2 linked regions of the Coturnix japonica genome follow. The protein of the gene in region 2 purifies or fractionates together with the protein of the main gene of each other region. This does not show direct contact. Links are inferred from orthologs where the notes say so. Each region holds a gene or a part of one and is shown on either strand. Other genes may lie near its edges. The genes, in order: LRRFIP2 and FLII.

Region 1 (4,247 bases), on a different chromosome or scaffold from region 2:
AAATTGATCCCAGATTCATTCATACTCTTTCTCAGGTGATGATCTTTCACTGAATGCCTCAACAGAGCAAAACAGTTTTAGAGCTTTTTAGAGAAAAGGGGGAGTAAATCAGCAGGTTAAGTAACATATGAAAAGTGATCCATAGTAATCTACCATATAAAAAGATAAAATGCCTTCAAAGGGAATTCCAGTGCTACTTCATTTATTTCAGTTGAAACATGCTATTAATGGAACATGCTCTATAGCACCTTCAATAATGTTTTGTTCAGGGTAGCTTCATAAATCAATATCTCTTTTGTAACTGCAGCCATTCCATAGCAAAAGTTCAATGTAATATTTTTTTGCCTCTAATTAAAGGTTTATAATGAAAAAATGTATGTAACCTGACTGTTTAACTCCTCATTAATGATGCTGAACTCAGAATTGCTACTGTGACATCTTGTACCACTGCCTGTAGTAACTGCTCTGTGTATACACTGCTCTGTGCACTGCTTTTCAGTAAACAATTGCTCTTTCAACCCACAAAAACGCATGTCTGCTCTCAAGGAGACACGCTTTTTGCTGCATCATTACAGAAAAATGTGCTGCCTGTGATAGCGAAAGACCAAACACATGCAAATCCTAATACTGCATCAGAAAAAAAAATAAAAAAATAAAAAAACCAAACAACTGAAAACATGTTTTCTCTTTACATAGCAGTATGTTGACAGAGAATAATCTCCCACAGACTAGGAGCGTAGCATCTGTCAGAAGATTCCACACAAACCCTCCCATTCAAGACAGCACAAAAAATACTTCTCCCTGCAGCTCAATCAAAACCACCTGAGACATTTCCAGTGAAGGCTCTCCATAAAGCCCAGACAATCAGCACATAAATCCTTCTGTGAGAATTAAAAACTACATCCTTATGTGGGGTTAAGTCAGTACTGTTTTCTTGCCTTTCCTACTGATATTCCAAGAAAAACTCCCTCTGCAGCAGCACTTCCTCTCTACTTCATCTCCCTGCGGTGAGATCATCATCTATTACTAAAGAAATTAACATGATGTTAAAAATAAGCATGGAATGGCCATGCTTGCACGAAGAGGGAGACAGACACTGTAACAGTTCTCTAGTTGTAAGTCCCTAAATACGAAGAAACCCCAGGAGGTTGCTTTATGTCTGATGTAATAGATGTAACTTGCCTGGACTTCCTTTCTTTATACTCATCCACTTGAGCTTATTTTAGTGTAACATTTGAACTCTGCCAAGGGCTCTTGGGAACGTTCCTGAGCATTACTGCTAGGCTCGTCAACCCTGCAGTGCCTTTTTATTATCAAGTGTCTTCTAACACGAAATACCATCTCCGCCAGAGCTCAAACCATCTCTGCAATTACCCTGCATTAGTGACGGAGGAGCTGGAAAGGCAGATGACTGCAAGTCTGATCCTGCGGCTGTTTCAAGGTGGATCCTCATCAAGCCTCTGACGAACATCAGTCAACTCCTGGTGAGCAAACTGTGATATATTTAATGGCACACTCCTTTCTTTTCTACCTCCTATATCGCTAAGATTGTTGTACACTTAACAGCGTGCATTTCCAATGGCACTTGGGGTGGTGTGAGATAAGGTGTAGTGCTTACACGGGTACCTGACTGCTGCCTGTGCCGTTCTCCCACACAGCGCGGTGCCGTGCCGTGCTACACCGGGACGAACGGCAGAGCCGGCGGGGCGCAGCCAGCAGGACCCCGCGGGGCAGAACCCAGCTGCTCGCTGCCGAGGCCTCCACGTGTTGTCCCCTAAGGAACGCGACAACAACACAAACAGCAGTTAGAACCCTGAGGCGAACGGAGCATGAAACACCGCGGACCTACCTCTCCCTGCCCTGGGGTGACCCAGCCTGCCCGGCGGTAGCGGACACATCCCGTCAGCAGGCTCAGGGACCTCAACCGCCCCTCTGCCGCGCATGCGCGGTCTGCGCAGAGGCCGGCCCCGTCTCCTCCTGCTCTCCCTCCCTGCCCGCCTTCCTCCTTTTCGCCGCGCGGTCTGAGCGCGACCGCCGCTTCCTGCCAGTCTTGCGCTGCGGTGGCGACCGCTCGGCGTCGAAGGGGAAGAGACGGCAGCGTAGGGCGGGGAGAGGAAAAGAGGAGGACGGCCCTCATTCGCGCGACCGCTCCTGCCCCGCTCCGGTTATTGCGGTTCCTGGGGCGGAGAAGGGCCGAGGGCGCAGGGTGAGGCGAGAGCGCGGCTGCCCGGCCCAGGCCGCCGGCCCGTCCCCGCCCGCCGGCCCCCGCGCTCGCCCTGGAGCGGCTTCGGCCTCCGTTTCTCCGCCGCCGGCACGGAGCTTGAGGCGGAACCGATTCCCCGCGGCTCGCGTGGGAGGCGGGGAGGGCACAACGAGCACTCCCGGGCCCCGTCCGGGCGTTCCGGTGCCGCCGTGCGCTGGCCCGCAGGTGAGGATCGGGCGGGTGGGAGGCCGCGGGGCAGCGAGCGGGGTGCGGCTCAGCCGGGCCCCGTCAGGTGGGCGGCGGGAAGGGGAACAATGCCGGCGGGTCCCGCAGCTGTGCTCCTTGCCGACGGGAAGGGAGGCGCGGCGGGGAGGGGAAAGAGAGTGGGAAAGGAGGCTGCTCCGAATCACGGCCGTTGCTGTGTCCGTGCCTTTCTCTCCCGCACTTCCTCGAAGCGCAGCGCTGTCTCTCCGCCGCTTGTCAGGGCGTGTCCCGCCGCAGGGAGGGCCGGGCAGGGCCGGGTGCTGCCAGGCCGCCGGGCGGCTGCCGGGCCGGGCTCGCTCCCGCGAGTCGCAGCGCGCCGAGGCGGCTCTCCGTGCCGTGTTCTCAACTGCGGGCAAAGCGTGCTGATAAGAGATGGGGACATTCCTGAAGCTGGAAGGAGCACTGCAGGCGATTCTTGGCAGTGGTTCGCTGAGTGCGTTGTAGGTGATTTCCAACTTGCTCATTTTAGAGAGACATCTGTCTGTCTGCAGCTTGAAATTGTAGCAGTAATGTAGTGTTGTTTTCATTCCATTAAAGTGTCAAAGTTAGCACTGAAAGGCTTTGGGGCATTTATTTACTTGCACAGATTTCCTGTAAGATTAAAAAAAATACTTCTTTTTACACATTCATTCTGTTGTGACTTTGAAGTGTTTAGTTGGGGCCCAGAAACAGGTATCTTCTTAATACAGATCTGCTTCCTTGCCTACTGTAATTACTTAGTGGTGATGTAAGAACAGATGAAAGGTGCTCTGGCAGTACAGCTCAGCTGGATGTAGGTGACGTGCTTTTCTCATGGCTTTGTGTTATTTACGTTTGGAGATGTTTACCTTAGGGTGTGAAGTTGTGTTATCTGAACAGAATTCCTGGCTCTCACAGAGACCTCGTGCATGTAAGGCAGCTGTGTGAAATGTCAGGTGTGAGACTGTTCACTTAGACATCAGCACGGACCCCAAAGAAGCTCCTTTGCTTTATAGCTCTCACTATGCAGGAGATGACATAGTGTTTTAACACACAGAGTCCGGTTTAACCAGCACTGTCTAAAATTTAACCTGTAGCACATGTTTAAGGTTTTAAATAGAAAATAAACTGGAGCTTTATGTAGTATGGAAGTTGTTGTATGTGCATACCATTTTTATTTGTTTTTGGCATCTAGATAGATATGTTACTGAGTACAGCCAGTATATAACAGTAGCGAGAAATTGATGTGTTGTTGTCTTTATTTGAATAATAATGATATAAATTGTGATAGAGGTCAGTACAGTGCGCTCTGCACTTTTCCTTTAATGTATATTAGAGATGCTTTCTGAGTAAGTAATGCAGATTTATTACCCTGAGTAACTGGGTATGAGTTAGCAAGTATATGTATGCAGCGGACAACTTGTTTCTATGTAAAGTTGCTTCTTTGTAATCTCTGTTATGTATCAGTCAAAAAACAGTGCATGTAAATAGTGCTGTTGGAAGTTTATAGATCTGTGTTAGGCATATAGAGCTGGAGCTGCTGCCATGGCAAAGGTGAAGGTGCACCTCTCCAGGGCCTGACAGCCCCACGGGGCTTTAGAGGGTACCCTGGAAGGTTTGCACTGTTGCTTCAGTAGCTTTCCCTGCAATGGAGAGTAACTGTAGCAATAGTAGCAAAGAGTAGGAGTGTTCTAAATATTAAGTTGTTAATGGAGAAATATCTTCAGTAGTTGCAGCTCGTTACTTGACGTGGGCTGTTACCATGGAGCTCTTTGTTTGTTTCGTTCATTAAAAAATAGTCTCAATATAGTCGCAGAGTGTT
Region 2 (4,414 bases):
CTGAGGCACTGCCAAAAAAGGGGCCGCAGCTTGGGAGCCTCCCAAGGGGGAAGACACAATCGGGTCAGCTTTCCGGTCACAGAGCTAAAAATAAAGCCCAGCTCCCATGCACAGGCACAGCCAGCCAAGGTGATCTTCACCCACACGCACCCACCATAAGCATCAGCTGGTGCTGGTGGTGGAGCCGGGGAGAGCAGGGGTTTGCTCAGGTCTTCCCTTCTCTGCTTCTTGGGAGGTTTTGGTGTTGCCTTGATCAGAGCCAGGTCCTGCCAGCTCTCCTCCAGGCTCTTCTGCTCAGCTTTAGGATCATCTTCCTCTCGAGGGCTCGTGGCTCGATCTATCAGCTGGTGGGAGAGACACATGGAGGGGATGTGTGTGTGGTCCACAAAACCCTCACCTCACCCAGAGAACAAGCAGTGGGGGCTCCCCCATCCCAACTGCACTGAGAGCTACAGGCCCCAAATAGCCTTGTTCACATACGGGGATGCTCTACCTGCTGCTGCTCATGCAAACACAGAGAGATGCTACAGATGGCAGAGGGGGAGGAGACCCGAGATCAGCAGCCCCCTTTACAGAAGGCTGCTATTGCTGGGAGAGCAAAGAGACCCAGGGAGGATCCACAGGGAAAACCTGCACAGACACGTTGTTCAATCAGCAGCACATCCCACCCCAAAGCAGGGAGGGGACGGCACAGACAGGGTAACAGTCACACACAGCTCTTCTATGGCTCTGGGAGTCTCATAGATGCACGCAGGTTCCCGAAGACAACGAGGCACGTCTCTGGGACGCAAAGTGGCACATCACCCCCCCAGCCTCACCCGTTTGACGGCCAACGTGGCGATGGCGAGCACGGCCGCGCCGCTGACGCCCAGCACCAGCCTGGCGTTGGCCAGCAGCAGGTCCAGGACGCTGCCCAGCCCGCTGTCATCCCGCCGCTTGCCCCGCTGCTGCGAGAACTCAGCCATGGTCACCTGCGGGAAGGAGGAGGAAGGTGCGGTGCGATCTGACAGCGGGGAGCCGGCTCCGTAATGACACCCGGCGTGTAACGGCCATGGGGGGAAGGCGGGGAGCCCGGCGGGACGCGAGCTGCGGGGCAGCCGCCACCACGGCCGACCTTCAGGCCCACGGATCCCGCTGCTGCCGGCTGCGGTGGTGGCGCCGGGCCGGACCAAGGGTCACCCCATAAAGATCCGGCCGCCAACAGATGGGGACGGGACGAGGGGGCTGCAATGGCACCACGGAAGGGGCCGGCACAAAATCAGCCCCCTTCACCGAGCTGCCAAGGGCAAACAAAGGTAGGACAGCCAACCCCACTGACTGACGGTACTACCCGCGGTTATTTCCTTCTCCGAACCCCAACTCCGAGCCCATCTCACCCCCCACCCCATAGCCCCCCCCCACTTACCCCGCAGCTCCCAGCGGGGCGGACCAGCAGCCCGTGCTGGCGCGCCGGCGCGCCCGCAATTCGCAGCGCAGCCAATGAACGCAGCGCTCCTTGGCCCCGCCTCCAATCAGCGTCAGGGCGGGGCGGGGTGTTGGGGCGGTGGCGCGTCCCGCCGGGTTCCCCGCTGTCATGGCGGCCACCGGGGTGCTGCCCTTCGTCCGCGGCGTCGACCTGAGCGGTAACGACTTCAAGGTGCGGGGGCGGCACCTGCTGTAGGGGCGGTACCGGGTGTAGGGCGGTACCCGGTATGGGGCGGTACCCGGTGTGGGGCCGGGCGGGGTGGGGGGAGAGCCGGCGGAAGTGCCATGGATGGGAGGGACTGTCAGGCCTGTCCGCTCCCCGCCAGGCCCGGCCATCCCCGAGGTCCCCGCTTAGGGCCGGTCAGTCCCGGCCCTTGTTGTGACCCTGGCAGGCCCTGCTGTGTGAGCGGGGCTTTGGAAGGCCGGGAGGTGTCAGCCCACAGTCCTCATCCTGTAGGGCTGGGTGACCTCAGTCTGCAGATCCCAGTCCCATAAGGCTCCCGTCCTTAAATCCCATCCTTAAATCTCGTTCTCATGGGGCTGGGTGATCCCAGTCCCCAGCTCCATAATACTGGGTGATCTGTCCCTCAGCAGCCCCACAGCACCAGCCCTGTCTCTCCATTGTCACCCCACGGGTCATACAGTTTCTCTTACCTTCATGCCCACACAGGGTGGCTACTTCCCAGAGCATGTGAAGGCCATGACCAGCCTGCGCTGGCTGAAGCTGAACCACACAGGGCTCTGCTACCTGCCCGAGGAGCTGGCTGCCCTGCAGAAGCTGGTGAGCAAACAGGGGATGGGGCACTTGGGGGGGCTGCGCAGCCAAGAACCTGCTGCCTGCCTGCCTCGTGTGCCAGCGTCTAATAATAGGGGCTGAGTGAGGAAGTGTGGTTGAAATTGGATGCAGGAGTTGTTAGGAAAGGGGCTGAGGCTGATGTGTACTGGGTTTCACCTTGTTTTCTTAGAAAACCAGACCAGAAACCACACTCTCTTCCTCTGCCTGTTAATAGAAGGGAAGGGTGAAAGTTTATGGGGAGAATTAAAGGTTTGGGCTCTCTTAGCAAAAGCGAAAAAAGAAAAACAAGCAGCAGCCAGCAGCTGCCTGGAATTATTCCCTGGCAGCTCGAGTTCTGTGCGTAGCTGTTGGTGGAGCCCATGGCTGAGCTTTGCTCTGGTGGTTCCTACAGCATATTATGGACATGCTGGAGCCCCCCAGCCAGTTTGGGACCCCAACAGCCCAATATGGGTCAGGGCTGAGCTCTGCTCCCCTCACTACTCACTGGGGCTTTGTCCTGATTCCCCACAGGAGCACCTGTCCGTCAGCCACAACAGCCTTACCACGCTTCATGGCGAGCTGTCCAGCCTGCCCTGCCTCCGGGTGAGTGTCCCGTTGTGCATCCCATGCAGTGGGGATGGTGGGCTCTGGTCCTCCTGAGGGGCTCAGCAGTTGCTGGAGCCGGGTGGTGGCTGCAGTCATTCCTCTCTGTCCACTTTGAAGGCAATTGTGGCACGTGCAAACAGCCTGAAGAACTCAGGAGTCCCCGATGACATCTTCCAGCTGGAGGATCTTTCAGTGCTGGTAAGTGCAGACTCTCCATGCTGCCCTTTCCCACAGTAAGAGCTCCAGCCTGGACTCCTGGTCACGCTCCTTTGTGCTCTTCAAGGAAGCACGTGGGACTGAAGAGCATCTGGAACGTGGTCCCAAAGATGCCCCATGATCCTTGGGGGTGGGCGGTAGTTGTGTTATGGGGGACTCATCCCAGGACTGAGGATGATTCCTGCTTTCATCCCCCAGGACCTGAGCCGCAACCATCTGACTGAGTGTCCCCGGGAGCTGGAGAATGCCAAGAACATGTTGGTGCTCAACCTGGGCCACAACAGGTGGGGATCCTGGCAGCACAGCTCCCCCTGACCGTGACCACCTCCACCCGTCACCTCCACTCCCCTCTTCACTCTGGGTCCCCCTCTTTGGGTTGGATCCAGGGCCACCCTGAAGGTCCCCATGTCCCCGCAGTATCGAGACCATCCCTAATCAGCTTTTCATCAACCTCACGGACCTGCTTTACCTTGACCTGAGCAACAACAAGCTGGAGAGCCTCCCTCCACAGATGAGACGCCTGGTGCACCTCCAGACCCTCATCCTCAATGACAACCCCCTGCTGCACGCACAGCTCCGGTACGGCTCCATTTTGTGTCTGGTTCCCAAGATAGTGGAGCCACGCAGGGCCATGCCCTGATGCTGTCTCTGTGACACACAGGCAGCTCCCAGCAATGACAGCCCTGCAGACCCTGCACCTCCGGAACACACAACGCACGCAGAACAACCTGCCCACCAGCCTGGAGAGCCTGGTCAACCTGGCAGGTAGGGCTGTGTTGGGGTGTTGCATCGGGGCTGTCCTGGTGTGTGTCCTGGTGGCCTCAGCCCCATTTGTTCCCCAGATGTGGACCTGTCCTGCAATGACCTCAGCCGTGTTCCCGAGTGCCTCTACACGCTGGGCAGCCTGCGGCGCCTCAACCTCAGCAGCAACAAGATCACTGAGCTGTCCCTGTGCATCGACCAGTGGACACAGCTGGAGACCCTCAACCTGTCCCGCAATGAGCTCACCTCCCTGCCTGTGCGTGTTGTCCCCATCCCTCCGTCATGTCCCCACTCCTCCATTGTGTCCCTTCCCTGGCTGCAGTGCCAGCCCTCACCCCACCACCTTCCCCTTCCTTCCCCAGTCTGCCATCTGCAAGCTGACCAAGCTGAAGAAGATGTACCTTAACTCCAACAAGCTCGACTTCGATGGGATCCCCTCGGGCATTGGCAAGCTCTCCAACCTGGAGGAGTTCATGGCGGCCAACAACAACCTGGAGCTCATCCCTGAGAGCTTGTGCAGGTAGGGGGCAGCCCCCGGCCAGATTTGAGCTGTCCCCAAGAGGGGACACGTGGAGGTGGGAGATGATGGGG

Evidence for each region.
Region 1: the proteins of FLII (region 2) and LRRFIP2 purify together in Homo sapiens (affinity purification with mass spectrometry; 3 studies listed by BioGRID and IntAct, with this or other methods). This does not show direct contact. The link is inferred for Coturnix japonica from reciprocal best matches to the Homo sapiens genes FLII and LRRFIP2.

Annotation. Positions count from the first base shown.
Region 1 is NC_029517.1:77,548,392-77,552,638, reverse strand, and holds the start of LRRFIP2 (leucine-rich repeat flightless-interacting protein 2), read left to right. Parts: upstream 1-1,371; 5' UTR 1,372-1,484; intron 1,485-1,849; coding exon of another isoform or gene 1,850-2,137; exon of another isoform or gene 2,138-2,164; intron 2,165-2,257; exon of another isoform or gene 2,258-2,428; intron 2,429-4,247. UniProt on the Homo sapiens protein: May function as activator of the canonical Wnt signaling pathway, in association with DVL3, upstream of CTNNB1/beta-catenin.
Region 2 is NC_029529.1:5,097,524-5,101,937, reverse strand, and holds the start of FLII (protein flightless-1 homolog), read left to right. Parts: upstream 1-1,532; 5' UTR 1,533-1,573; coding exon 1,574-1,636; intron 1,637-2,134; coding exon 2,135-2,245; intron 2,246-2,770; coding exon 2,771-2,842; intron 2,843-2,962; coding exon 2,963-3,043; intron 3,044-3,259; coding exon 3,260-3,345; intron 3,346-3,478; coding exon 3,479-3,640; intron 3,641-3,722; coding exon 3,723-3,826; intron 3,827-3,903; coding exon 3,904-4,079; intron 4,080-4,185; coding exon 4,186-4,343; intron 4,344-4,414. Other genes in the region: MIEF2 (mitochondrial dynamics protein MID49), read right to left, coding at 155-344, 819-965. UniProt on the Homo sapiens protein: Is a regulator of actin polymerization, required for proper myofibril organization and regulation of the length of sarcomeric thin filaments. It also plays a role in the assembly of cardiomyocyte cell adhesion complexes.